Anolis sagrei: one gene and its partners. The protein of the gene in region 3 interacts with the protein of the main gene of each other region in a pairwise test. Links are inferred from orthologs where the notes say so. Each region holds a gene or a part of one and is shown on either strand. Other genes may lie near its edges.

Evidence for each region.
Region 1: the proteins of ZMYND19 (region 3) and ENOX1 interact in binary tests that used the Homo sapiens proteins (3 or more experiments, as listed by UniProt). The two-hybrid records come from large-scale screens. The link is inferred for Anolis sagrei from reciprocal best matches to the Homo sapiens genes ZMYND19 and ENOX1.
Region 2: the proteins of ZMYND19 (region 3) and TNFAIP1 interact in binary tests that used the Homo sapiens proteins (3 or more experiments, as listed by UniProt). The two-hybrid records come from large-scale screens. The link is inferred for Anolis sagrei from reciprocal best matches to the Homo sapiens genes ZMYND19 and TNFAIP1.
Region 4: the proteins of ZMYND19 (region 3) and NAB2 interact in binary tests that used the Homo sapiens proteins (3 or more experiments, as listed by UniProt). The two-hybrid records come from large-scale screens. The link is inferred for Anolis sagrei from reciprocal best matches to the Homo sapiens genes ZMYND19 and NAB2.

The regions. Positions count from the first base shown.
Region 1 is NC_090023.1:144,623,189-144,630,321, forward strand, and holds the start of ENOX1 (ecto-NOX disulfide-thiol exchanger 1), read left to right. Parts: upstream 1-4,114; 5' UTR 4,115-4,324; intron 4,325-7,133. UniProt on the Homo sapiens protein: Probably acts as a terminal oxidase of plasma electron transport from cytosolic NAD(P)H via hydroquinones to acceptors at the cell surface.
Region 2 is NC_090031.1:25,689,331-25,696,567, forward strand, and holds the start of TNFAIP1 (BTB/POZ domain-containing adapter for CUL3-mediated RhoA degradation protein 2), read left to right. Parts: upstream 1-4,219; 5' UTR 4,220-4,436; intron 4,437-6,582; 5' UTR 6,583-6,660; intron 6,661-7,237. UniProt on the Homo sapiens protein: Substrate-specific adapter of a BCR (BTB-CUL3-RBX1) E3 ubiquitin-protein ligase complex involved in regulation of cytoskeleton structure.
Region 3 is NC_090031.1:6,000,273-6,007,774, reverse strand, and holds the start of ZMYND19 (zinc finger MYND domain-containing protein 19), read right to left. Parts: upstream 3,004-7,502; 5' UTR 2,856-3,003; coding exon 2,805-2,855; intron 1-2,804. Other genes in the region: protein STPG3, read left to right, coding at 6,492-6,580, 6,735-6,910. UniProt on the Homo sapiens protein: May be involved as a regulatory molecule in GPR24/MCH-R1 signaling.
Region 4 is NC_090022.1:184,056,512-184,064,165, reverse strand, and holds the start of NAB2 (NGFI-A-binding protein 2), read right to left. Parts: upstream 3,008-7,654; 5' UTR 2,725-3,007; coding exon 2,612-2,724; intron 1-2,611. UniProt on the Homo sapiens protein: Acts as a transcriptional repressor for zinc finger transcription factors EGR1 and EGR2. Isoform 2 lacks repression ability.

The DNA of each region.
Region 1 (7,133 bases), on a different chromosome or scaffold from region 3:
CTGAGATTTTTCTATGGGACCTTAGATATATACGTATTTTAAAAAATCAAACTTTTCCTGATAATCAACCAGCATTTGCAAGGCTTGCCAAACAAAATAAAAAAATCTGTTCCTGGTTTAAAAGTGTCAATTTCTGTTTAAGTGTGCAATAAAGCACTGAGCTGCTGAGCTTGTTGACCAAAAGTTCACAGGTTCGATTCCAGGGAGCGGCGTGAGTTTCTGCTGTCAGCCCTAGCTTCTGCCAACCTAGCAGTTCGAAAACATGCAAATGTGAGTAGATCAATAGGTACCGCTCCGGCGGGAAGGTAACGGCGCTCCATGCGGTCATGCTGGCCACATGACCTTGGAGGTGTCTATGGACAATGCTGGCTCTTTGGCTTAGAAATGGAGATGAGCACCACACCCCAAAGTCAGACATGACTGGACTTAATGTCAGGGGACAACCTTTACCTACTTCCTTTGAAAGTAGTTGTGATACTCCAGAAACTTTATTTTGGTGGCTGCCATAAACTATATTGAACTGGTTGAGACTCGATGAGATATTCATTGAAAAACTATAGCAATCTGCGATATGGCAGGATGTCCTGCAAACACAAAGTTTTTGCAGGTTAATAAACTTTCCCCATGTTTTCATAATAGAACCAATTAGGAAATGACATTGATAATGCAGGAATAAAAAACTGTGTTATATAGTGTTATCTATCATGCAGACTGGGGATAATGGGAATTGTAACCTATCACCCCCTCATGGCTGTAATGGCTGTGAAAGGGCATTTTCAAATCAGACATTGTATCCACAAACCTTGTATATAAATTCACGCTCTGTCCTGGTCCACCCACATTTCTTCTATTTCCCTGAAAGCACAAGTTAGCAGATCTGCCATTTTGTGTTTTAGCATTACCAAAAGGGGTCGGTATTTACCAGGCTTGGGTAAACTTTGGCGCTCAAGCTGTTTTGGACTTCAGTCCCCACAATCCCTAACAGCCTGCTATATGTTAGGAATTGTGGGAGTTGAAGTCCAAAACACCTGGAGGACCAAAGATTGCCCATGCCTGGTATATACCATCAGCTATTTAAAAATGTAATGCCAAGACGCATCCAGCACCTGGATTGGTGGCTCAACACCTAAGATAGATTAGCACCAACCACAGTTCTTGAGGGCCGTCTTCCAGTTCCCCAGATGTGTGCCATCCTGTGTCTTACTGTTAAAATCTGGGGAAATCCCCCTGTCAACAAAAGCTTGGTGGTGGGCCCTTAAATATTGGATTACGGTCAGTGTTTTCAGACTGGGCTCAGGTCTGATTTACCATCTAGCTCAGAATGATTACACCAGCAACTGGTTAAAGCTTAACTCTTCTATTGCCTCTTCTATTGGCCTCTCTTCCTCCCTCTTATCTCATATTGGCACTTTAATCTATCAAACAAAGACTGTAGGACAGTGTTTCTCAACCTGGAGGTCGGGACCCCTGGGAAGGTCGCAAGGGGCTTTCAGAGGGGTCACCAAAGACCATCAGAAAACACTGTATTTTCTGTTGGTCATGGGGATTCTGTGTGGGAAGTTTGGCCCAATTCTATCATTGGTGGGGTTTAGAATGCTCTTTGATTGTAGGTGAACTATAAATCCCAGCAACTATGACTCCCAAATTTCAAGGTCTATTTTCCCCAAACTCCACCAGTGTTCACATCTGGGCATCTCGTGCCAAGTTTGGTCCACATCCTTCATTGCTTGAGTCCACAGTGTTCTCTGGATGTTGGTGAACTACAATGCCAAAACTCAAGGTCAATGCCCACCAAACCCTTCCAGTATTTTCTGCTGGTCATGGGAGTTCTGTGTGCCAAGTTTGGTTCAATTCCACCGATGGTGGACTTCAGAATGCTCTTGGATTGTAGGCGAACTATAAATCTACAACTCCCAAATGACAAACTCATTCCCCCCTCCAACCCCACCAGTATTCAAATTTGGGCGTATAGGGTATTTGTGAATGAAAATACATCCTGCATGTCAGATATTTACATTATGATTCATAACAATAGCAAAATTCCAGTTATGAATTAGCAACGAAAATAATATTATGACTGGGGGTCATCACAACATGAGGAACTGTATTAAGGGGTCACAATATTAGGAAGGTTGAGAAACAGTGCTGTAAGACATTGCCTTCGGTGAGCTGCATTACTGCTCATATGTTTCTTCTTCCCCAAGTGCACTGAGCATACACTTTGCTGGCCCTTTTCATGAAGCAAATTATCTTAAAAATGTGTCTGTGGCCAAATATCGCCACCTATTCTCCAAGCCAAGGTGCAATGTGTTCCCATCCGAAGTGCTTTGGGGTAAATTTGCAGAGTCTCATGCAATGCAAGACTTTGCCTTTGTAATAACCAAGATGTTGAATGTATGGACCCTTCCACACTGCCCTTTATACCAGGATCTGATCCTAGATTATCTGCTTTAAACTGGAATATATGAGTCGCCACTGCCAGATAACCTAGAGCCCCTCCCACACAGCAGAATAAAATCCCACATTATCTGCTTTGAACTGGAATATATGGCAGTGTGGACTCAGATAAGCCAGTTCAAAGCAGATATTATGGGATTTTCTGCCTTGAAATTCTGAGTTATATGGCTGTATGGAAGGGCCCTGGGGTAAAATGATAAACTGGGATCAGATCCTGGGATAAAGAGGTAGTGTGGAAGGGCCCTATGCCTCACATTTTATTGTCCTGCAGTTTTTACAAACAAGCTCAGCTACATATTAGTAACCTACTACTGATACTGGAGCCCCCGGTGGTGCAGTGGGTTAAAGCACTGAGCTGGTGAGCTTGTTGACTGAAAGGTTGCAGGTTCAAATCCGGGGAGCGGCGTGAGCTTCCAGTGTCAGCCCCAGCTTCTGCCAACCCAGCAGTTTGAAAACATGCAAATGTGAGTAGATCAATAGGTACTGCTATGGTGGGAAGGTAACAGCGTTTCATGCAGTCATGCCGGCCACATGACCTTGGAGGTGTCTACGGACAATGCTGGTTCTTTGGCTTAGAAATGGAGATGAGCATCAACCCCTAAAGTCAGACACGACTGGACTTCATGTCAGGGGAAAACCTTTACCTTTACCCTACTACTGAGAAACCTTCCCAATAGATCAGCCCAAATCCAAATAAAGTTCTTACTAGGTTTTTTTTCTTCAAATTCCCCTACGTGACCATTATTGTTGCCAAACTTCTCTCTGAGGTAGCCAGGATAAGACAACTTCTGCTGTCAAGAATTCAATGACTGCACGTTGCTTAAGTCGCATTGACGTACTGCCTGCACAGGGTTCCATACTTCTCACTTTAACAACACAACCGTTCAATGCTAAGGTTTCCTGCCAAAATGGAACTGTAGAGGAGTGTCTACTGAACAAGCCAGTACCTGCTGCATACCAGTACTGCCATCTGTTGAGGAGTTACAGTACCTGCTGCATAGCAGTACTGCCTTCTGTTGAGGCATTACTTTTCATTCAACCCTGGAATTATATAAAGGAAGGGGGGCCATAGAAAAGTCCAGAGGCTCGGGGGGGGGAGGGTTCTGGGCTTGGGTCTCCCCCCCCCCCCCAGTTCCCTTCCAGGTGAGCAGGAGGAGGGTGCCTTGTTTCCATTGGAGTAACAGGGGCGTTCAATGACTGCACGTTGCTTAAGTCGCATTGACCGACCGTCTGCGCAGGGTTCCATAATTTGCACTTTAACAACAAAGCCGTTCAATGCTAAGGCTTCCTGCCAAAATGGAACTGTAGAGGAGTGTCTACTGAACAAGCCAGTACCTGCTGCATACCAGTACTGCCATCTGTTGAGGAGTTACAATGGTGGAGGCATTACTTTTCATCCAAACCTGGTAGTATAGAAAGGAAGGGGGCCCATAGGGGCTCCGGGGGAGGGGGTCTGGGCTTGGGTCCCTCCTTCCTCCTTTCCCCCCAGTTCCCTTCCAGGTGAGCAGGAGGAGGGCGCCTTGCTTCCATTGGAGTAACGGGGGCGGGGGGTGCTCCTGGGCGGCCCTCCTGGAGCTCTGCGACGCACCTGGCGAACGCGTTGTCTGCGCTTGTCCTCGGCGGCAGAATTTCGCCTCGGTCCCTTGCAGCAGCCAGTCAGTGAGAGAGAGCGAGAGAGAGAGGCGGCAGGAGCAGCAGCAGCAGCATCCGCTCCTCCTCCTCCTCTTGCTGCTGCTGCTGCCTGGGTCCAGCTCGCCTTCGCCCAGCCTCCTCTCCCTCCCTGCCTGCCTGCCTGCTTCGCTCGCCCACCCGGGCTGCTGACAACCCGCGCGGCGCCACCGGGATCTGGCTGGACTTCTGCGCGCAGGTAAGGGAAGGGGAAGAAAGGAAAGGGAAGGGGAGGAAGGGGCAGCCCCGGAGAGCGGGCGGCAATGGCAGCAGCAGCAGCGGCAGCATCCACCCGGCGGGGTCCCGCTTCCCATCCTCAGTGGGGAGAAGGGAGCAGGCCGGGCCAGGCAGCCAGGCAGCCAGCCTGCGAGGGGCTTGGGGCAGATGGGCGGCGCGGAGGGGCTCCTCCTCTGCCTCCTCTTCCTCCTCTGCTTCTGCCCTTGGTCTCCATCCCTCCTCCTCTTCCTCCTGCCAACCCCAGAGTCCAAAAGTTTCCTCCTCTCCCGGCCTGGCGCCCCTTCCTCCTCTCTTCCTCTCGGGAAAGGGGAGCAGACCCTCCCCGCCCCTCGGTTGGCCCCTCCGTCCACCCCCAGGCGGCTCTTGCAAAGGAAGGGAGGACTTTGTGCCTTGAAGGCGCTTTGCCATCACCCCCCTTCCTCCTGAAAGTTTCCTCCTGTCACTGAAGGGGGGGGGGGGTTGGAGCCAGTCCTCAGTCCACAGGGATGGAGAGGGTCGTGTCCCTAGTGCCATCTCCTGCCCAAGGCGAGACCTAGGAGAGCAAGGACCAAGGAGCTGACTTGACAGCAAAAGTTTCCTAGATGCTTTGTGGGCTTTTTGGGGGTTGATAGTGGAGGTTCTGAAAACTTGATAGTATCCATTTTCAAGACCTGAATGGCTTCATTTCACCTGAACTTTCTGACCTTAAGAGCTGTTCAACAGTGGAACTCTCCCTGCCTTGGAGTGTAGTAGAAGCTTTAAATCAAAGAGTTGGAAGAGACCTCATGGGTCATCTAGTCCAACCCCATTCTGCCAAGAAGCAGGAAAATTGCATTCAAAGCACCCCCCGACAGATGGCCATCCAGCTTCTGTTTAAAAGCTTCCAAAGAAGGAGCCCCTACCACACTCCGGGGCAGAGAGTTCCACTGCTGAACAGCTCTCACAGTCAGGAAGTTCTTCCTCATGTTCAGATGGAATCTCCTTTCTTGAAGCCATTGTTCTGCGTCCTAATCTTCAGAGCAGCAGAAAACAAGTAGGAGAGGCTGGATGACCATCTGCTGGGGGTGTTTTGATTGTGCTTTTCCTGCATGGCAAGGGGTTCTCCTATAGATGGCCCATGTGGTCTCTTCCAACTATTATTCTAATGTTGGTCACGCGTCAGGGCATGTCAGAGGCAAATGGGCAATTGGTCCATCCCTTTCCATCAACCAGAAGGAAAAGAGAGCTTGGGTTGTTGGGAGTTTTTCAGACTGTCTGGCCATGTTCTGGAAGCATTCTTTCCTGATGTTTTGCCTGCATGTATGGCAGACATCCTCAGAGGTTGTGAGGTGTGTTGGAAACCAGGAAAATAGGGTTTATATATCTGTGGAATGTCCAGGGTCGGAGAAAGAACTCTTATTTATTGTTTTATTTATTATTTTACTATATTTGCATTCTGCCTTTGTCCCCAAGGAAACTCAAGGTGGATTGCTGTGAGTTTTGTGGGCTGTCTGGCCATGTTCTAGAAGCATTCTCTCCTGACATTTCACCTGCATCTATGGCAGGCATCCTCAGAGGTTGTGAGGTGTGTTGGAAACTAGGAAAATTGGGTTTATATATCTGTGGAATGTCCAGGGTGGGAAAAAGAACTCTTATTTATTATTATTATTATTATTATTATTATTATTATTATTATTTTACTATATATATTTACTTCCTGCCTTTGTCTCCAAGGAGACTCAAGTTTTTTTTTTGTCGTGTCAGGAGCGACTTGAGAAACTGCAAGTCGCTTCTGGTGTGAGAGAATTGGCCGTCCACAAGGATGTTGCCCAGGGGACGCCCGGATGTCTTGATGTTTTACCATCCATGTGGAAGGCTTCTCTCATGTCCCCGCATGAGGAGCTGGAGCTGACAGAGGGAGCTCATCCACGCTGTCCCCGAATTCGAACCTGCAACCTGTGGGTCTTCAGTCCTACCGGCACAGGGGTTTAACCCACTGTGCTACCGGGGGCTCTGAGACTCAAGGTGGATTGCTGTGAGTTTTCTGGGCTGTCTGGTCATGTTCCAGAAGCATTCTCTCCTGATGTTTTGCCCACATCGATGACAGGCATCTTCAGAGTTTGTGAGGTCTGTTGGAAACAAAGCAAGTGGGGTTTATGTATCTGTGGAATGTCCAGGGTGGGAGGAAGAACTCTTGTCTGAATGAGAGCTTGTTTCAACTCAGGAGAGTTGGACAGCATCCTTCCTTCTCTCCTGAGGGGAGCAGCCTCGCTTCAGGAACAGGGCATCAGTCGCTTGCTCGCTTCTTTCTCTCTCTCTGTCTGCCCCAGAGGTGACTCCCTAATGTAAGGTCTGGCTTTCTTGGGTGTCATTGCCGCAGGGAAAAAAAGCTATCCAAAAGATGGTGAAAATATTGGCTAGTCTCCCAGGGGTGCCCCCCCCCCCCCACTTTCCCCTCTTCTTGGATGAGTGCCAAGGGTGAGAGATCACAGTCTGCAGGCTGGGAAATGAACAGCCCAACCACCACCTCCTTGCAATTTCAGGAGACGGTGGTGTGGAAACGAGTTGCACTTCATAAAAGCCCACGCGTTTATTTAGCTTTGTTTTTCTTAAGTGTCTCTATCTGTTTGTGCCTCTTATTTTTGATTGCCAGTGTAAAAAATACCCAAGAACCAAGTCTTTGTCAAAGAGAAAAAGTCTTTCAGATGGCAGACAGGCAGCTCTTCAAATTCTAGACTTGATTGACAGGAGCTTGGAAAGTCTTTCCCTCTCATTCACATGTTGTGCATGTGGGGGTCTCGAGGGTCTCTAGC
Region 2 (7,237 bases), about 20 Mb from region 3:
GTGGTCATTGGCGCACTGGGTGCCATGCCAAAAGATCTCAGCAGGCACCCAGTGCGCCGATGACCACTGGGACCACCTGGAGTGGTTTATGCCAGAGCCTTTGCAGTTCGATTTTGAGGTCTTGATAGCGACAAAATCACGATCTGTCAACTGCAAAAGGCCACCTGACTTGGATCTGCGCGCATCATTTGAAAATACATCACACAGTCCTAGATGCGTGGGAAGTGTTTGGTTTGTGATTTTGTGATACGAAATCCAGCACATATATCTCATTTGCTGTGACATACTGTGGTTTGGTGTCAGTATAATAATAATAATAATTCATACCCCACCTTAATAATAATAATTTATAATTTATTATTATCTTTATTTATACCCCACCTTTCTCCCCATGGGAGAAATGTTATAATGTAATGCAATGTAATAATAATATGATATTATAATTATATATTTATATTACATCATCATCATTTAATAACTTATTAATCGCCCTCCATCCGAGAATGCTCCATTCTAATATTACTAATAATATTACGATATAGTGGTATGGTGCAATATAGCAATGTTCAATGCTGATATTGTACTATGCTAATAATATAATATATTGTATGTATGTATATATATACATATATATCTTATAAGCCAATCTGAGTCCCCTTCGGGGTGAGAAGGGCGGCATATAAATGTCGTAAATAAATAAATAAATAAATGGATCTGGGTTGAAGTTGGCCCACATTCACACCTGGAACAACTTTAAAAACTGGCAAGAATTGATAGAGGACGATGGGAATTGGAGTCGATTCAAACCTGTCATGGTCACCCATAATAGATCTGGACCAAACTTGGTACGCATGCCCTCCTTTACCCAACATAATGGGTTCTTCCCTACAGTGAGTGCCTACTGCCCTCAATAGGGATGTCAGACTGCATCACCCATCATCCCCAGATGCCCTTGTGCCTTGGGAAAGGTAGAATTGAGCTTTGTGGCCTCCCTTTCCCAGAATAAATGGATCCTTCTCTATAGAGGAGGGGTTCCTAACCTTTGGTCCTCTAGGCCTTTTGGACTTCAGCTCCCACAATTCCTAACAGCTGCTAAGTTGGCTAGGATACCTGGGAGTTGAAGTCCAAAACACCTGGAGGGCCCAAGGTTGGGAACCCCTGCTCTATAGAGACATTGGACTGCACCACCCATCAGCCCAGACCCCTAGAGCCTTGGGAAAGGCTGGAATGGGCTTTGTGATCTCCTGTTCAAAGCCTGGATGGGTCCTTCCCGGCAACCAAGGCCTCTTGTATTCAATTGGGGGCTTTGGACTGCACCCTCCACCATCCCCAGGCTCTTACCTGCCCTCCAGGCCCCCTCCCCGCGCTGCCACGGCGACAGCATCAGCCCCGCCCCATTGGAACGTACCATTCGTCCAATGGGGGGAGGAGACAGAGAATCCAAAGGAGCGCTTTGCATTGTGGGAAGTGTAGTTCCCATTGGAAGAGTCCAAATCAGAAAGAAGGGGAAGGGGGATCGAGAGGCCCCCTTTGTCCCAATGAATCATAGAATCATAGAATCAAAGAGTTGGAAGAGACCTCATGGGCCATCCAGTCCAACCCCCTGCCAAGAAGCAGGAATATTGCATTCAAATCACCCCTGACAAATGGCCATCCAGCCTCTGCTTAAAAGCTTCCAATGAAGGAGCCTCCACCACACTCCGGGGCAGAGAGTTCCACTGCTGAACGGCTCTCACAGTCAGGAAGTTTTTCCTAATGTTCAGATGAAGCTTTGGAGTAGAAGTGCACAGGATTTTTCCTATAATAATAATAATAATAATAATAAATTAATAATAATGGGTTGTTGTAGGTTTTTCAGGCTGTCTGGCCATGTTCCAGAAGCATTCCCTCCTGACGTTTCGCCCACTTTTATGGTAGGCATCCTCAGAGGTTGTGAGGTCTGGGTTGTTGTAGGTTTTTTCGGGTCTAGAGGCATACTCTCCTGACGTTTCGCCTCAATCTATGGCAGGCCTATTGGAACTAGGAAAAAGGGCTTATATATCTGTGGAATGACCAGGGTGGGACAAAGGACTCTTGTCTGCTGGAGCTAGGTGTGAATGTTTCAACTGACCACCTTGATTAGCATATAATGGCCTGACAGTGCCTGGGGGAATCTTTTGTTGAGAGGTGATTAAATGTCCTTGTTCGTTTCCTCTCTGTTGTTGTGCTGTTGTAATTTTAGAGTTTTTTTTAATACTAGTAGCCAGATTTTGTTCATTTTCATTGTTTCCTCCTTTCTGATGAAATTGTCCACATGCTTGTGTATTTCAATGGCTTCTGTGTGTAATCTGACATGGTGGTTGTGAGAGTGGTCCAGCATTTCTGTGCTCTGTTTCACCATTGCCTCACCACCAGCTACTTTCAGTGGGACAATGAGTTCTATGAACAGAAAGATGGAGTAGCTATGGGGAGCCCCCATAGCTAATTTGTACATGGAACACTTTGGAAAACAAGCCCTGAAAACAGCAACAAAAAAGCCCACTATATTGAGACCCTATATTCAAGGGTCTGGAGAACAAGCCCTATGAGGAGCGGCTTAAGGAGCTGGGCATGTTTAGCCTGAAGAAGAGAAGGCTGAGAGGAGATATGATAGCCATGTATAAATATGTGAGAGGAAGCCACAGGGAGGAGGGAGCAAACTTGTTTTCTGCTTCCTTGGAGACTAGGATGCGGAACAATGGCTTCAAACTACAAGAGAGGAGATTCCATCTGAACATGAGGAAGACCTTCCTGACTGTGAGAGCCGTTCAGCAGTGGAACTCTCTGCCCCGGAGTGTGGTGGAGGCTCCTTCTTTGGAAGCTTTTAAACAGACGCTGGATGGCCATCTGTCAGGGGTGATTTGAATGCAATATTCCTGCTTCTTGGCAGAATGGGGGTTGGACTGGATGGCCCATGAGGGCTCTTCCCACTCTTTGATTCTATGATTCTATGACTCCCCCCTGGGCACACAGAGGACTGGGCGACTTGGAAGGCGCTGAACAGACTGCGCTCTGGCACCACAAGATGCAGAGCCAATCTTAAGAAATGGGGCTACAAAGTGGAATCCACGACATGCGAGTGCGGAGAAGAGCAAACCACTGACCACCTGCTGCAATGCACCCTGAACCCTGCTGCATGCACAATGGAGGACCTTCTTGCAGCAACACCAGAGGCACTCCAAGTGGCCAGATACTGGTCAAAGGACATTTAATCAACTACCAAGTTTGCAAAATTTGGGTTTTTTTTATCTGTTTGTTTGTTTTGTTCTGTTAGAAATGTAATACAATGGTACGGTTGCTGATGACACAATAAATAAATAAAAAACCTCTCAACAAAAGATTCTCCCAGGCACTAAGAAGCCACACCTAAAAACTGTCAGGCCTTCAAATGCTAATCAAGCTGGCCAATGGCAACATTCACACTTGCCTCCAACAGACAAAAGTTCTTTCTCCCACCCTGGACATCATTCCACAGATATATAAACCCATTTTTCCTAGTTTCCAACAGCCCTCACAACCTCTGAGGATGCCTACCATAGATGTGAGCGAAACGTCAGGAGAGAATGCTTCTGGAACATGGTCAGACATCCCGAAAAACCTACAACAACCCAGTGATTCCGGCTATGAAAGCCTTCGACAACACATTATTATTATTATTATTATTATTATTATTATTAATATGAAACATAATAAAATAAGTATATAAATATAATATAAAAATAAATATATAAATTATATATATATATATATATATATAATATGAAACATTAAAAAATAAAAATCATACAATAAATATGAAACATAATAAAAATACATTCCATTATTGCTTTGAAAAATTTTAAGAAATAATAATGAAGCCCTTTGGTATAATTTTCCATTAAAATATTGTAAAACCATTAAAATATTGTAAAAGTATTGTATTTCCCATTCAAATATTGTAAAATATTTGAGGATCCCTCAAAGACATCAAAGTGTCTGTGCGTATTTTTCGTGCTTTTAAATATATATATATAACATGTCTTTATTAATGTTTGAAAAGAAAAGCAGAGGGCCGATAAAGTGGATTTGAATGGCGCTCGATAGCTCTGCCTTCGACTCCTTTTGCCTGGCTGGGGAGGAAGCGAGGGAACGAGGCGGATGACGTCATACGTAACGTCATCCTCGTCCGTTTATGATTGCGTAAGGAGCGCTGCGACGCGATGGCATGCCGGGATTTGTAGGCGGAAGTTTCTGACTGGCGAGGGCGGCCTGTTGCTGGAGGCTAGAGCTTCGAGCTCCGCCCTTCGGTTGGGCTGGGGACGCGGAGGGCGCGCCGACCCGCTCGGGAGACGGTTCAGTTCAGCCCGGGGAGTTTCGGAGGCCTCGGAGAGCGACGGCCGCGACCCCTTCGGCGTTTTGAGGAAGGAAAGAGGCGGCGGGTGAGGAGGACGCCCAAAGCGAGGCGGGCGGGCCCCGGAGAGCGGGAGGGAGGGGAGGCATTAAAGGGTGGGATTGATTTTGTGTTTGGTGGGTCAGTGCCTGGAAAGGAAGTGGAGCGGGCGGGCGGGGATAATTGATTTTGGAGCCCTGTTCCATTTTCAGGCAAGGTTAGAAAAGGAGAAGAGGAAGGGTATATTAGAGGTTCTTTAATAGGGACAGGTGGACGTTCAAGAGGGAGGACTTTAGATGAATGCACAACAGGTAGAACTTTAGGTGCATGTCCAGCAGGTAGACCTTTACATGAATGCACAACAGGCAGAACTTTAAGTGCATGTCCCAACAGATAGAGCTTAGGTGGATGGTGAGCTTTGGGTGGATGTCCAACAGGTAGAACATTAGGTGAATGTACTAAAGGTAGAGCTTTAGGTGGATGTACCAATGATAGAGCTTAGGTGGATGGCGAGCTTTGGGTGAATGTCCAACAGGCAGAGCTTTGGGTGAATGTACCAAAGGTAGAGCTTTAGGTGCATGTCCAACAGGTAGAACTTTAGGTGGACGTCCAACAGGTAGACCTTTAGATGAATGCACAAGAGGTAGAACTTTAGGTGGACGTCCAACAGGTAGACCTTTAGATGAATGCACAAGAGGTAGAACTTTAGGTGGACATCCAACAGGTAGAGCTTTAGATGAATGCACAACAGGTAGAGCTTCGTGTGGATGTCCCAAAGGTGGATGGTGAGCATTGGGTGAATGCCCAACAGGTAGAATTTAGGTGCATGTCCAACCCGTAGAATTTTGGGTGGCTGTTCAATAGGTAGAGCTTTAGGTGGATGTACCAATGATAGAGCTTAGGTGGATGGCGAGCTTTGGGTGAATGTCCAACAGGTAGAACATTAGGTGGATGTCCAACAGGCAGAGCTTTAGGTGGATGTACCAAAGGTAGAGCTTTAGGTGGATGGTGAGTTTGGGTGAATGTCCAACAGGTAGAACTTTAGGTGGATGTCCAACAGGTAGAGCTTCAGGTGGATGTTCCAAAGGTAGAGCTTAGGTGGATGGTGAGCTTTGGGTAAATGTCCAACAGGTAGAACATTAGGTGGATGTCCAACAGGCAGAGCTTTAGGTGGATGTACCAAACGTAAAGCTTTAGGTGGATGGTGAGCATTGGGTAAATGTGCAACAGGTAGAACGTTAGGTGGATGTCCCAACAGACAGAGCTTCAGGTAGATGTCCAAAGGTAGAGCTTTAGGTGGGTTGTGAGCATTGAGTGAATGTTCAACAAGAAGAACTTTAGGTGGATGTCCAACAGGCAGAGCTTTAGGCGGATGTACTAAAGGTTGAGCTTAAGTGGATGGTGAGTTTTGGGTGAATGTCCAACAGGTAGAACGTTAGGTGGATGTCCAACAGGCAGAGCTTCAGGTGGATGTTACAAAGGTAGAGCTTTAGGTGGATGTCCCAACAGATAGAGCTTAGGTGGATGGTGAGCATTGGGTGAATGTCCAACAGGTAGAACTTTAGGTGCATGTCCAACAGGCAGAGCTTCAGATGGATGTCCCAAAGGTAGAGCTTTAGATGGATGGTCAGCATTGGGTGAATGTCCAACAGGTAGAACTTTAGGTGGATGTCCAATGGGTAAAACTTTGGGTGGCTGTCCAACAGGCAGAGCTTTAAGTGGATGTCCAAACAGATAGAGCTTAGGTGGATGGTGAGCTTTGGGTGGCTGTCCAACAGGTAGAACTTTAGGTGCCTGTCCAGCAAATAGAACTTTAACTCTCCCAGGGTAGTGTGATTATGGAAAACCTCCATACCTAATAAAACATAGATGATGATAGTAATAATAAATTGTATTTATTACCCACTTCTCTTAACAGCTCTAGGAAGAGTACAACATACTCAAAACATATCAACTTGAAATACATACAACAAAATACATGCATCAAAACATACCATTATAAAATACATACACCAAAACACAGGGTACAAAGATTAACGTACAGCGGCAATAGAATACAATAGACTGTCTGGGGAGGAAGAATATTTAGCCAACTTTCATGAACATAGATGGAAATCATACTGGTGCAGCATGCTAGTGTATGATAAAGACTTTGGTTGAAATGTTTTAAATACGTTTTTTTCTTTGTTTCACAGAGGAGTGAAGCTTTACAACCAACATTGCCCGTCCTGCCTGTTCCAGCATCCTTTATCCATCAGAAAGAAATATAACAGGTATGCTATGTCCCAGTTGTTTACCCTCATTTAGGGTAGAGCTGTTCAATCAGTGGTGGGATGAGGAGTCAGCAAGTAGATATGTCGAATGGATTTAATGCATATACTATAATCAGAACTAAAAAGAGAATTTTGTTCATAATAATTGATCCTGTGCAATGCTGGCAGAACTTATAGGTTCAGCGTTGTCTTTATGCACATGGAGGTGACATCATTGCATTGTAGATCTAGCGGCTTTCTATGGGGCAAAGGGTAAGGAGTTGTGTGTCATAAATGATATGGTTTTTCTTGGCAAGATTTCTTCAGAGATGGTTTGTCGTCGCCTTCCTTTGAGGCCAAGAGAGTGGGACTTGCCCAAGGTCTCCTAGTGGGGATTTGTGTCCTAGGGTTCATCCACACTGTAGGATTAATGCAGTTTGACTCCACTTGAACTGACATGGCTCAGTTCTATGGAATCACGAGAGCTGTAGTTCGACAGCGCTGTTAATCTTCTCTGCCCAGGAATTTTGGTTCCTCATCAAGCTGTCAATCCCAGGAGTCCATAGCATTGAGCCAAGACATTTAAAGTGCATTTAGT
Region 3 (7,502 bases):
ATGCTAGGATTATTTATTTATTTACGGCATTTATATGTCGCCCTTCTCAGGGCCTTCTCGGTGATTGCTCCCCAGCTATGGAACTCCCTTCCTGGTGAGATCAGGTCGGCCTCCTCTCTCCTGTCCTTTAGAAGGATGCTAAAAGCTTGGCTGTGGGGCCAAGCTTTCGGGACAGGGAATAAAGCGGCAATAGGAAAGATGACCAAGCCAATTAGATTTTATGAGGATGACCAGGATGGTTTTAAATTGTGTATTTTAATATTTTGATAAATGTTTTCAGTGTTTATGTATTGTACATGAATTTGTGTCCCGGCATTGAAAGTTTGCTGTGTATATGCTGCGCTCCACCCTGAGTCCCCTTCGGTGTGAGAAGGGCGGAATATAAATGTTTTAAACAAATAAATAAAAATATTATGATCAATATTATATGTACATACAATATACTATAATTCTTAGCATAGCACAATATTAGTATTATATGTTACTATATTGTACTATACCATTATACTGTAATATAGTCAAATATATTATATGTACATACAATATGCTATAATTCTTAGCATAGCACAGTATTAGTATTATATATTACGATATTGTACTATACCACTATGCCGCAATATTATTAGTAGTATTAAATGTAATATGAAATTTATAATTATTATATTGTATTATTATTAATATATTGTATTACATTATATTATTATCAATATTATATATGTATACAATATATTCAATATATTATACAATATTGTATAATATGCCCATGTCATCAGTTGGGAGTCCCTCTCCCTGCACCAACTGCTGCTCTGGGCCAGAGTGAAGAGAGAAGGGGGCCAGGAAGACAGTTCCACCTTGTCTCCAGTCTTATGGTAATAATATAATATAATATATTGTCTAAACATATAATATTTATAATATTATAATGTAATACAATATAATACTACTAATAATAATATTCCAATACAATGGTATAGTACAATTTATTTATTTATTTATGTTACTTTTATCCCGCCCATATCAGCCCGAAGGTGACTCAAAGTGCCGTACAAATCGACACAATTAGATGCCATATATAAATACATACATTGGTTAAAAACAAAAACAAAAATCACACCATAATACATTTAAAACCATAAAAGCAATAAACAATACAAATTATAAAAACTATGTCTTCTTGTTCAATTCCTCAACCGTTCCATCGTCTTGGCCGTTCCTAGTTCATATTCCAATATGAGATTATCTGGTCATGCTGAAGTTCCAAACACTTGCTCAAAGAGCCAGGTTTTCACTCTTCTCCAAAAGGTGAGGAGGGAGGGGGCCCATCTAATATCCCTAGGCAGGGAGTTCCACAGCCGAGGGGCCACCACAGATAGATAGATAAATAAATAAATAGTACAATAAAGTAATATATAATACTGATATTGTGCTATGCTAATAATATCTTGTATGTATATATATCTTGTAAGCCGCTCTGAGTCCCCTTAGCACAGCACAATATTAGATATATATATTGTATATGTGGGTCTGGGGAAAGAGAGGATGTAACACACTATCTGTTACATTGCTCACTGTATAATGTCCCTCGAAACAATATTTTGGTAGCCCTTTTGGAAGAAAGGGCAGCATGGCAACAGTCAGCAGTTATTTGTGACTTATTGGCGGATTATTCCAAAGATATAACATTGAAAGTTGCCACATTTGCAGTCGCAGCCCAAAAAATCCGAGCCAAACTAGTAAAGTCCACAGCAGAAGCTAGAAATGGAAATTAAGATATTTTGGGGATGATATAAACCAGACATTTGCAATTGTTATTATGTCACTACTATAATTTTAAAGAGCTACTATACGGAACTTGGGTTGTTGTAGGTTTTTTCGGGCTATATGGCCATGGTCTAGAGGCATTCTCTCCTGACATTTCGCCTGCATCTATGGCAAGCATCCTCAGAGGTAGTGAGGTCTGTTGGAACTAGGAAAAAAGGGTTTATATATCTGTGGAATGATGTCCAGGGTGGGAGAAAGAACTCTTGTCTGCTTGAGGCAAGTGTGACTGTGGCAATTGGCCACCTTGATTAGCGTATAATGGCCTGACAGTGCCTGGAGCAAACTTTTGTTGAGAGGTGATTAGATGTCCTTGTTTGTTTCCTCTCTGTTGTTGTGCTGTTGTAATTTTAGAGTTTTTTAATACTGGTAGCCAGATTTTGTTCCTTTTCATGGTTTCCTCCTTTCTTGACATTTGGGACTTGTAGTTGCTGGGATTTATAGATCACCTGCAATCAAAGAGCATTCTGAACCCCACCAATGATAGAAACGGGCCAAACCTCCAACACAGAATCCCCATGTGGGCCACAGCAACGTGTGGCAGGGGACAGCTAGTATAAACACACACACATATATATATATATCTCCTAGGCCTGGGTAAACTTGGGCCCTCCGGGTGTTTTGGACTCCAACTCCCACAATTCCTAACAGCCTACCGGCTGTTAGGAATTGTGGGAGTTGGAGTCCAAAACACCCGGAGGGCCCAAGTTTGCCCAAGCCTAAGATACATAACCATGTGGTACAAATACATATCTATAACCATGTGCTGCAAGTATATATATATATAATATTAGTATTATATATCAACCATATTGTAGCGAGAGGGGGGGAAAGGGAGGAAGGAAACGACCCTCTTCCTTTCAGGCCTGTGGAAGCCCCCTGACGTCACAGAGGTCCGCCGCGTGACGTCAGGGCGCGTCACGGGCCTGTGAGGGAGCGAAGGGCCTGGCCCGCCTCCCGCCCCGCTCGCTCTCTCTCTCTCTCACCTTGCCGGCGACTCGGCCCAGCCGCACGATGCCCAGCTTGAAGTCGGTCATGGCCGTGGCCTGGCCCTGGCGGAGGGAGAGGAAAGAGGCGAGGGGCGACGGAGGCGGGGCAGCAGCACCACGCAGCAGCAACGCCGCCGCCGCCTCCTCCTCCTCTGCCCGCCGCCGCCGCCAGCGCCTCAGACGCCCCTCTCGAGGTCGCCGCCAATCAGCGCCCGAGCCGCACGCTCACGTCATCGCTCTCCGCGGCGGCGGCCAATCAGCGCCCTCGCGTCATCACTCTGAGGAGAGCGCGCGGCGGCCTGAGGACTGCGCACGCGCGAGACCGCTCCCCCCCGGCTCCCCCCTCTCTCCTCAACCCAACCCTTTTATCCGAGCCCATCCAATCGGCGCTCGAGCTGTCTCCTGCGTCATCATCACCGCGCAGCCAGTGCCTCTCCTGCTCTCCCTCACACCGCCGCGGCCTGCGTTGATGACGTTCATCAAACTCGCGCGGGAATTCTTTTTTTCCAATCTTTCCTGCGTGGGCGGGGCTTGGAAGGAGCCTGTCGCGCATGCGTACTGGGGCTCATTTAGCAGACGCTTCGAATCAGTGACATGTGATGGAAGGAGGGGGAACATTCGCTTCGTAGAGGAGCCCGCCGCGCATGCGTAGTGGCGCTTCTTCAGAAGCCTAAAGCAATACTGTGGGAGGTGGAACTTTCGCTCATTAGAGGAGCCCGCCGCGCATGCGTACTGGCGCTCCTTTAGAAGCCGAGCAACGGCCGCGCATGCGTACTGGCGCTCCTTAACAAACCTAAAGCAATACTTTAGTGGGAGGGGGAACTTTCGCTTCTTAGAGGAGCCCGCCGCGCATGCGTACTGGCGCTCCTTTAGAAGCCAAGCAACGGCCGCGCATGCGTACTGGCGCTCCTTAACAAACCTAAAGCAATACCTAGTGGGAGGGGGAACTTTCGCTTCTTAGAGGAGCCCTCCGCGCATGCGTACTGGCGCTTAATTGGTTATGCTTTGAATCACTGATATGTGAGAGGAGGGGGAACTCCCGCTCCTTAAAGGAGGTCGCCGCGCATGCGTACTGGCGCTCCTTTAAAAACCTCGCAACAGCCGCGCATGCGTACTGTACTTTTTATTTGAAGCTTAAAGCTCAGCTGATCTGTGATGGGAGGGGTAACTTCGCTCCTTAAAGGAGACCGCCGCGCATGCGTACTGCCGCTCCTTTACAAGTCTAAAGCAACTCTCAGTGGGAGGGGGAACTTTCGCTCCTTAGAGGAGCCCGCCGCGCATGCGTACTGGCGCTCCTTTAAAAACCTCGCAACAGCCGCGCATGCGTACTGTACTTTTATTTGACGCTTAAAGCTATGCTGATCTGTGATGGGAGGGGTACCTTCGCTCCTTAAAGGAGACCGCTGCGCATGCGTACTGGCGCACCTTATATTATTATAAGCCTAGCAATAGTTTGACTCAGTTACATGTAATTTTAACTGCTCTCATGTCTCCTCTCAACCTTCTCTTTTGCAGGGTAAACAGACCCAGTTCTTTAAGACGCTCCTCATAGGGATTATTCATGATCTCCAACGATTTGAACATTTTAGTCTCCTTCCTCTGGACCCCTTCCATCTTAAGAGTCGAGATCTCTTTTGAACGGTGGTGCCCAGAATGGGACACAATATGATTCCAGGTAAAGTGAACCTCTCAACCTCTGAGGATGCTTGCCACAGATGCAGGCGAAACATCAGGAGAGAATGCTTCTGGAACTCTGCCATACAACCCAAAAAACACACAACAACCCAGTGATTCCGGCCATAAAAGCCTTCAACAATACAGTTGTTGACATTCATTTTATTAAAGGGAACTCAGAGCGGCTTACAAGTAATATCTAAATACGATATATTATTACCATAGCACAATATCTATATAAATAACAATGTAAGTTCGTTTGTGGGATTAACAGAACTCAAAAACCATTGGACGAACGAGAAAGAGGGAGAGAAATGAAGGAAAGAAAGAAGGAAAGCGGTAGAGAAGGAAGAAAGAAAAGGGGAAGGAAAGGAAAAAAGGGGGAAGGAAGGAAAGAGGCAGAGAAGGAAGGAAGGAAAGAAGGAAAGGGAGAAAGAAAGATGGAGGGAAATAGAGAAGGAAAGAGGTAGAGAAGGAAGAAAGGAGAAAAAGGGAAAGGAAAGGAAAAAAAGGGGAAGGAAGGAAAGAGGTAGAGAAGGAAGGGGAGAAGGAGAGAGAAAAGGAAAGGAAGGAAAGGAGAGAAAGGGAGAAAGAAAGAAAGAGAGGGAAATAAAGTAGGAAATAGAAGGAAGGAAAAAGGTAGAGAAGGAAGGAAGGAGAGAAGGAAAGAAAAAAGGGAAGGAATGAAAGAACGAGAGAAAGTGGGAGGGAAGGAAGGAAAGAGAGAAGGAAGGATTGAAACAAAAAGCGAAGGAAGGAAAGAGGGAAAGAGGTAGGGAAGGAAGAAGTGAGGGAAAGAAGATGAAAAGGGGGAAGGAAAGGTAGAGGTGGAAGGAGAGAAGGAAAGATAAAAGGAAAGGAAGGAAGGAAAGATGGAGCAAAGGAAGGAGAGAAAGAGGGAGGGAAGGAAAGAGAGGATGGAAACAAAAAACAAAGGAAGGAAGGAAGTAGGGAAGGAAGAAATGAGAGAAAGAGATAAAGAAAGGGGGGAAGGAAGGAAAGGTAGAGAGGGAAGGAAGGAGAGAAAGAAAAAAGGGAAGAGGGAGCAAAGGAAGAAGGGCAAGAAGGAAAGAAAGAGGGAGGGACGGCTGGCCAGAGCAACGCGCGGTGTGTACAGCTAGTTCGTATATTACTATATTGTACTATACCATTATACTGTAATATTAGTAATATTACATGTAATATAAAATATATAATTATATTAGTAGTAGTATTATATTGTATCACATTATATCATCAGTATTATATGTATATACAATATATTATTATATTATTAGCACAGTGCAGGAGAGAAGATGGAACTGTCTTCCTGGCTCCTCCCTTCACTCTACTAGTCTACTACTACTCTACTAGTCATGTCATTCCAGGATGAAGATGAACCACTGGGAAGAAGCACCCTTTGGTTTTGGCTGCTTAACCAATTCCATATCCACCTTATAGTAGGCCTTGCCTTGCCCACAATGGGCTAGTATGAAGCAAGGAGGTCATGGAAGGCCTTCCTGAAATCAAGATCTGCTCCATCCACAGCATTCCCTGCATCTACCAAGCTTGTAACTCCATCGAAGAAAGAGATAAGAGGAGTCTGGCATGACTTGTTTTTGAGGAATCCATGTTGACTTTGAGTATTGATGTCAGACTGACTGAACAGTGGGAATTGTTTGGGTTGTCCTTTTATGTCTCGAAGATGGGGACAACCTTTGTCCTCCTCCAGTCTGCTGGGACTTCTCCTGTTCTCCAAGATTGCTCAAACATTATTGCCAGTGGTTCTGAAATCACTTCTAGTTACTTCAGTACTCTTGGATGGGGTTCATCTAGCCCTGGAGACTTGGGAGATAGAAGATAAGTTATCTCTTGGTCTCAGGGATTTGAATGACTGGTAGGATCAAGGATGATCTTCAACCGCTGGCAGGACGCCTTGCTATCAGATAGAACAGAACACGCTGATGTCACACAAGACGCGGCCCGCCATTCTGAAAGATGGGAGAGCGCCAACATCGCTGAGCCATAGATATGGAGTACCAGCTGATCCACACCAAGTTCTTGGCCCAGCAATACCTGAACAAACCTTTGCTCTACAAAAGGCAGCCAAAACCCTACCGGTAAGGCCAGGGATCTGCACTGTATAAGTAACGCAGTTTGACACCACTTTAACAGCCACAGCTCAATGCTCTGGAATCATGTACAAGGTGTGCCAGACTATAACTCCTAGGATCCTACTGCATTGAGCCAGGGTGGTCCCAAGTGATGTCAAACTGCATTAATTCCACAGCGTAGATGGACCCCTAGTTCTCTACGCTCTTCCAAATTCATTTCCCTTCCTTCTGGGATTTCTGATCCTTCTCACACTGCGTTTCTTTGCAGGGCTCTTGCGGGCAGAGAAACCAACACAACGCCGCTCTTCCCCGACATCCATCCTGGAAAACAAAGCAGTAAGGAAGAAGGCAACTTCTGCTCTCTTCACACGGACTCCAATGGTCTTGGTTGAACTCTTGCCATCTTTATTTATACCCCATCCCATCTCCCCTTGTATGTGTTGTTGTAGGTCAGCCTGTGATTGTGTCTGATGCTCAAGATGATGTTCATGTTGGGAACGACAGTCATGTTGATGTGCATAATAGGAATGGGGATGGTGTTCCCGATAATGGGCCTGGGAATGTGGCGTTTGCCCGGCCTGGTATTAAGTTCAGAAGAGAGGGCTGAGCAAGGCAACATTCCTGGGAAAGACCTTTCACCGCTTTTTTCAGAGCCACAGTCTGAAAATTATGCCGTGATTGTTTTACCAGGTGCAGGAGATGATTGTGAAACCATGGCAAAGTTTTAGTAAACAGAGGCAGAACTTTCAGAATCTCAGGCGTTCTGCTTGTTTACAGCCAAAGCAAAAGAAAGATAACAAACCGTTATCTAGTGGGAAAGTGAGAAAGGATGTGTTCCTTTCAGTTTCAGGCTTTGGAAAGGGTTTATGATTCATGGGAGTCGAATGCCTGTCAAATTAACATTCCTAAGTTTGCTTTCAAGTGCTCT
Region 4 (7,654 bases), on a different chromosome or scaffold from region 3:
ATTTTCTGTTGGTCATGGGAGTTCCGTGTGCCAAGCCTGGTTCAATTCAATTGTTGGTGGAGTTCAGAATGCGCTTTGATTGTAGGTGAACTATAAATCCTAGCAACTACAATGCCCAAATGACAAAATCAATCCTTCCCAACCTCACCAGTATTAAAATTTGGGTGTATCGGATATTTGTGCCAAATTTGGTCCAGTGAATGAAAATAGATCCTGCATATCAGATATTTACATGATGATTCATAACAGTAGCAAAATTACCATTATGAAGTAGCAATGAAAATATTTTTATGGTTGGGGGTCACCACAACATGAGGAACTGTATTAAGAAGGTTGAGAAGGAATGCTTTTGGTGGTGGTAGTTTGTAAGAGACGGGGAAGGCAGCAGCCCACTCCCACCATTGCCTTTCCTCTCACCATTACATATCATGCTTGCCAAAATGCTTTAGGAGGGCTTTAGGGGCAGAATTCTGTGGCCCCGTTTAAGAGAATGGCACATGTCCCTTAAACCATATTTGGAAGTAATACAGTAAAGTAAATACACATCTGAACAGGGAGGAGCCTGCTGGACTGGAGTGGGAAAAATGTTGCCCTTCAGGTGCCATGAAGTTGCAAGTCTCAGCAGCCAGGAGAGCTAATAAAGAATGATGGGAGTTGCAAAACCACCTTGAGCAGTGCTTCCCAATCTTTGGTCCTCCTGGTATCCTGGGCTGGATCTACACTGCCCTATATCCCAGGATCTGATCCCAATTATCTGCTTTGAACTGGATTATCTGAGTCTACACTGCCAAATAATCTGGGATAAACAGATAACCTGAGATTAGATCCTGGAATATAGGGCGGTATAGATTCAGCCTTGGACTTCAGTTCCTACAATTCCTAACACCTGGTAAGATGGCTAGGATATCTGGGAGTTGAAGTCCAAAACAACTGGGAGGACCATAGGTTGAGAATCACTAATCTAGAGCACTGACTTTTCCTTTTTTGGAGGACAGCTGAAGCATTTTCTGCACAACCAGCCCAACTGTAAACATTGCACATTGTTGTAAACATTGCACATGGTTCAGATATGTTTCGCTGTTGCCCATTTTTTGTGATTCCAACACTGAGCTAAGGGGTCCCCATTTGGGATCAGGACCTACAGTTTAAAAAACAGTATTCTGTTAGCAAAAATGTGCAGTGTTCACAGTGGACTCTGCAGAAGATGCTTTAGTTGTACATCACAAAAAGGGGAAATCAGTCTGCTTAGCAAGCCTTGCAAATGCAGATTTTGTCACAGAATCGTAGAGTTGGAAGAGACCACATGGGTCATCTAGTCCAACTCTTTGCCATGCAGGAAAAACACAATTAAAGCACCCCCGACAGATGGACATCCAGCCACAGTAAATGTTTAGTGTTCACATCAATTTGACATACATCTATAGCCAGGTCATATGAAACATTATTGGGTAAAAAGGGGTCATGAGTGGTCTTCCTTTTAAGCACCTCCTAGTATAAGACCATGAAGCCCAGTCTAAAACTACCTAACTACTTCACTTCCCAAAACAGCTTCTAAATTAAACTTTTTTTTCATGTCAGGAGTGACTTGAGAAACTGCAAGTCACTTCTGATGTGAGAAGTGAGATGTCTGTCTGCAAGGATGTTGCCCAGGAGACACCCAGATATTTTTACTATCCTGTGGGAGGCTTCTCTCATGTCCCTGCTTGGGAAGCTGAAGCTGACAGATAGGAGCTCACCCTGCTCCCCAGATTCGAACTGTGACCTTTTGGTCAGCAGTCCTGCCGGCACAAGGGTTTAAACCCATTGCGCTACCGGGGGTTCCATGAGTTTATAATCAGTGCTTGGAAAAATGTGGCCTCTCTACTGATGTCCTCATTTTCTACCCCGAGGTCCGCTTCCCCATCTTCATCTTTCTATATTGACAAATCTACTGTATATTTATGTCTATTCAGCAGTGGGACTTTCTGCTTCGGAATGTGGTGGAAGCTTTTAAATAGAGGCTGGATGGCCATCTATCAGGGGTACTTTGATGGTGCTTTTCCTGCATGGCAGGGGGGATGGACTATATGGCCCCTGTCGTCTCTCCCAACTGAATTATTCACACACACCCACATACACAAATATATATATATATATATATATATATATATATATATATATATACACACACACACACACACACACACACATATACATTCACAAACACACACACACACACACACACACACACATATATACACACATAGTTTTGTTTAACTGACTTCCTCTTGCATTTGTTGCTTAAGCCCCTTCTACACAGCTGCATAAAATCCACATTGAACTGGATTATCTGGCAGTGTGGACTCTTCCAGACAGGCCCTCTATCCCAGGTTTTCGGTTTTCTGTTTATCCCAGATTATCTGGCTGTGTGGACTCACATAATCCGGTTTAAAGGAGAAAACTTGGGATCAGATGCTGGAATAGAGGGCCGATCAGCCCCAGAGGAGGAGAGAACTATGATGCCTCTGCATGGAGCCAGGGCAGCTCAAGCGGTGTGGAGCTGCATCAGTTCCACCGTGTAGAGGGGTGTCCTAACTCGCTCTCCCTTCCCCCTCCTCCCAAAGGCACTCACGGGTTTCTTGCGTGGCTCCCTTCCGAGGCCGCGGGTGGGGCATGGGCCAAGGGGTTGGCTCGCCCTGCAGGAGGCGCCTTCCTCTTGCTCTTCTCTCCGAGGGCGCAAGGCATCCGACGCCGCTTTTGGTCCCCTCTTCTGTCCGTGGAAGCTCTCTCTCAATCGCTCTCTTTCTCAATCGCTCTCTCTGCTCTTCCTTCCTTCCCTCCTCCTCCCCTTCTCCTTCTTCCTCCTCCTCCTCCTCCTCGCCTCTCCCTCCCTCCCTCTCTCTGTGCGCTCAGCCTTTGGCACGGAGTTGCCTCCCACGCCGCCGGATTTACAATGGCTCCGCGTTGCTTGTGCTGCTGCTGCTCTGCCTCAGTGGCGCGTGGGAGGCTCGTGGGCGGAAGAAGCAGCAGCAGCACTGAAGGGAGGGAAGTGAAGGGAAGGAGCTGCAGCCACACACTGTCCGGTTCATGCAGTTTGGCATCAGGGGGAGTTTGGAGAGATTCCAGCCCTCGTGGGCAGGCAGAGAAGGCTACAAAGGCCCTTTCCACACTGACATCGAACATCCAGATGATCTGCTTTGGCAGTGTAGACTCATGTAATCCAACTCAGAGCAAAACATGTGAACCAGTGGTTCTCAAACGGTGCTCCTTCAGATGTTTTGGGTCTCATCCCTGCTCTGCACAAGTCTCTTGTCACATCAAGTCTCCAGTCCACAATGAGGAGCTAGACTCAAGATAGGAGTAGGCTGAGGGATTCCTCCCCCACATTCTTATGCATATTTACCAAAAAGGGCTTTGGGTTCTTATAATTTTTTTCGGGCTATATGACCATGTTCTAGAGCAGTGTTTCTCAACCTTCCCAATGCCGCGACCCCTTAATACAGTTCCTCATGTTGTGGTGACCCCCAACCATAAAACTATTTTTGTTGCTACTTCATCACTGTCATTTTGCTCCTGTTATGAATCGTAATGAATCTCCAGCAAAGGATCACCGCCTTGTCGGGGCGCTGGAGCTTGAGCACCTCAATGATGTCATGAGCGAAACCGTGAAGGGCCACCCAAGACGGGACGGTTGTGGCAGAGAGGTCAGACCAAGCGTGATCCCTGGGGAAGGCAATGGCAAACCACTCCAGTATCCTTGCCAAGAAAACTAAATGGACCAGTACAACCAGAGATATGTCGGTATGCCATTGGAAGATGGGACTCCCAGGTCGGAAGATGGCCAAAATGCTACTGGGGAGGAGCAGAGGATAAGTTCAACTAGCCCCAGATGTGATGACGCAGCTAGCTCAAAGCCGAAAGGAAGGCTAGCGGCCGACGGTACTGGAGGTGAACGACGAATCCGATGCTCTAAAGATCAACACACCATAGGAACCTGGAATGTAAGATCTATGAGCCAGGGCAAATTGGATGTTGTTATTGGTGAGATGTCAAGACTAAAGATAGACATTCTGGGGGTCAGCGAACTGAAATGGACTGGAATGGGCCACTTCACATCAGATGACCACCAGATCTACTACTGCGGACAAGAGGAACATCGAAGAAATGGAGTAGCCTTCATAATTAATAAGAAATTCGCTAAAGCAGTGCTTGGATACAACCCAAAAATGACAGAATGATCTCAATTCGAGTGCAAGGAAAGCCTCTCAACATCACAGTGATCCAAATATACGCCCCAACCACAGCAGCTGAAGAAGCAGAAGTAGATCAGTTCTATGAGGATCTGCAGGACCTACTGGATAATACACCAAAAAGAGACATTATTTTCATTACAGGAGACTGGAATGCCAAGGTGGGAAGTCAAATGACAACAGGGATCACAGGCAAGCATGGTCTGGGAGAACAAAACGAAGCGGGACGCAGGCTGATAGAATTCTGCCAGGAAAACTCGCTGTGTATAACGAATACTCTCTTCCAACAACCTAAAAGACGGCTTTATACATGGACCTTACCAGATGGTCAGCACCGAAATCAGATTGACTACATCCTTTGCAGCCAAAGGTGGCGGACATCTATCCAGTCGGTGAAAACAAGACCTGGGGCTGACTGTAGCTCAGATCATGAACTTCTTATTGCCCAATTTAGAATAAAACTAAAGAGATCAGGGAAAATACACAGACCAGTTAGATATGATCTCACTAACATTCCTAGCGAATATACAGTGGAAGTGAAGAACAGATTTGAAGGACTAGATTTAGTAAACAGAGTCCCAGAAGAACTATGGACAGAAGTCCGCGACATTGTTCAGGAGGCGGCAACAAAGTACGTTCCAAAGAAAAAGAAAACCAAGAAGGCAAAATGGTTGTCTGCTGAGACACTGGAAGTAGCCCAAGAAAGCAAAAGGAAACAGTGAAAAGGGGAGATATGCCCAGTTAAATGCGCAATTCCAGAGGTTAGCCAGAAGAGATAAGGAACTATTTTTAAATAAGCAATGCATGGAAGTGGAAGAAGACAACAGAATAGGAAGGACAAGAGACCTCTTCCAGAAAATTAGAAACATTGGAGGTAAATTTCAGGCAAAAATTGGTATGATAAGAAACAAAGATGGCAGGGACCTAACAGAAGCTGAAGAGATCAAGAGAAGGTGGCGAGACTATACAGAAGATCTGTATAGGAAGGATAACAATATCGAGGATAGCTTTGACGGTGTGGTGAATGAATTAGAGCCAGACATCCTGAGGAGTGAGGTTGAATGGGCCTTAAGAAGCATTGCTAACAACAAGGCAGCAGGAGATGATGGGATCCCAGCTGAACTGTTTAAAATCTTAAAAGATGATGGTGTCAAGGTGATGCATGCCATTTGCCAGCAAATATGGAAAACACAAGAATGGCCATCAGACTGGAAAAAATCAACTTATATCCCCATACCAAAAAAGGGAAATGCGAAAGACTGCTCAAACTTCCGTACAGTGGCCCTTATTTCTCATGCCAGTAAGGTAATGCTCAAGATCCTGCAAGGAAGACTCCAGCAATACATGGAGCGAGAGTTGCCAGATGTTCAAGCTGGGTTTAGAAAAGGCAGAGGAACGAGAGACCAGATTGCCAATATCCGCTGGATAATGGAGAAAGGCAGGGAGTTTCAGAAAAACATCTACTTCTGCTTCATTGACTATTCTAAAGCCTTTGACTGGGTGGATCATAATAAATTGTGGCAAGTTCTTGGTGGGATGGGCATACCAAGCCACCTTGTCTCTCTCCTGAGGAATCTGTACAAGGACCAAGTAGCAACAGTCAGAACTGACCACGGAACAACAGACTGGTTCAAGATTGGGAAAGGCGTACGGCAAGGCTGCATCCTCTCACCCAACCTTTTAAACTTGTATGCAGAACACATCATGCGATGTGCGGGGCTGGATGAATGCAAAGCTAGGGTGAAAATTGCTGGAAGGAACATTAACAACCTCAGATATGCAGATGACACCACTCTGATGGCCGAAAGCAAGGAGGAGCTGAGGAGCCTTCTAATCAAGGTGAAAGAAGAAAGCGCAAAAGCCGGGTTGCAGCTAAACATCAAAAAAACCAAGATTATGGCAACAAGAATGACTGACAACTGGAAAATAGAGGGAGAAAATGTGGAGACCGTGACAGACTTCGTATTTCTAGGTGCAAAGATTACTGCAGATGCAGACTGTGGCCAGGAAATCAGGAGATGCTTACTTCTTGGGAGGAGAGCAATGTCCAATCTCAATAAAATAATAAAGAGTAGAGACACCACACTGGCAACAAAGATCCGCCTAGTCAAAGCCATGGTATTCCCTGTAGTAACCTACGGATGTGAGAGCTGGACCTTAGGGAAGGCTGAGCGAAGGAAGATCGATGCTTTTGAGCTGTGGTGCTGGAGGAAAGTGCTGAGAGTGCCTTGGACTGCGAGAAGATCCAACCAGTCCATCCTCCAGGAAATAAAGCCCGACTGCTCTCTGGAAGGAAGGATACTAGAGACGAAGTTGAAGTACTTTGGCCACATCATGAGGAGACAGCAAAGCCTAAAGAAGACAATCATGCTGGGGAAAGTGGAAGGCAAAAGGAAGAGGGGCCGACCAAGGGCAAGATGGATGGATGGCATCCTTGAAGTGACTGGACTGACCTTGAAGGAGCTGGGGGTGGTGACAGCTGACAGGGAGCTCTGGCGTGGGCTGGTCCAGGAGGTCACGAAGAGTCGGAGACGACTGAACGAATGAACAACAAATGAATCGTAATGTAAACATCACATATGCAGGATGTATTTTATTCACTAGACCAAATTTGGCACAAATACTCGAAACACCAAAATTTGAATACTGGTGGGGTGCGGGCTTGATTTTGTCATTTGGGAGTTGCAGTTGCTGGGATTTATAGTTTACCTAGAATCAAGGAGCATTCTGAATTCCACCAACGATGGCATTGAACCAAACTTGGCACACAGAACTCCCATGACCAACAGAACATACTGGAAGGGTTTGGTGGACGTTGACCTTGAATTTTGGAGTTGTAGTTCACCTACACCCAGAAAGCACTGTAGACTCAAACAATGATGGATCTGGACCAAACTTGGCACAAATACTCAATATGCCCAAATGTGAACATGGGCGGAGATTGGGGAAAATAGACCTTGACATTTGGGAGTTATCGTTGCTGGGACTTATAGTTCACCTACAATCAAAGAGCATTCTGAATCCTACCAATGATTGAATTGGGCCAAACATCCCACACAGACCCTCCATGACCAACAGAAAATACTGTGTTTTCTGGTGGTCTTTAGTGACCCCTCTGACACCCCCTCATGACCCCTCCAGGGGTCCCAACCCCCAGGTTGAGAAACAGTGTTCTAGAGGCATTCTCTCCTGACGTTTCACCTGCATCTATGGCAAGCATCCTCAGAGGTAGTGAGGTCTGTTGGAAGTAGGAAAATTGGGTTTATATATCTGTGGAATGACCAGGGTGGGACAAAGAACTCTTGTTTGTTGGAGCTAGGTGTGAATGTTTCGACTGACCACCTTGATTAGCATTTGATGGCCTGGCAGTTTTTTGGTGTGGCTTGTTAGTTTTTAGTTTTTGTTTTTTGTCGTGTCAGGAGTGA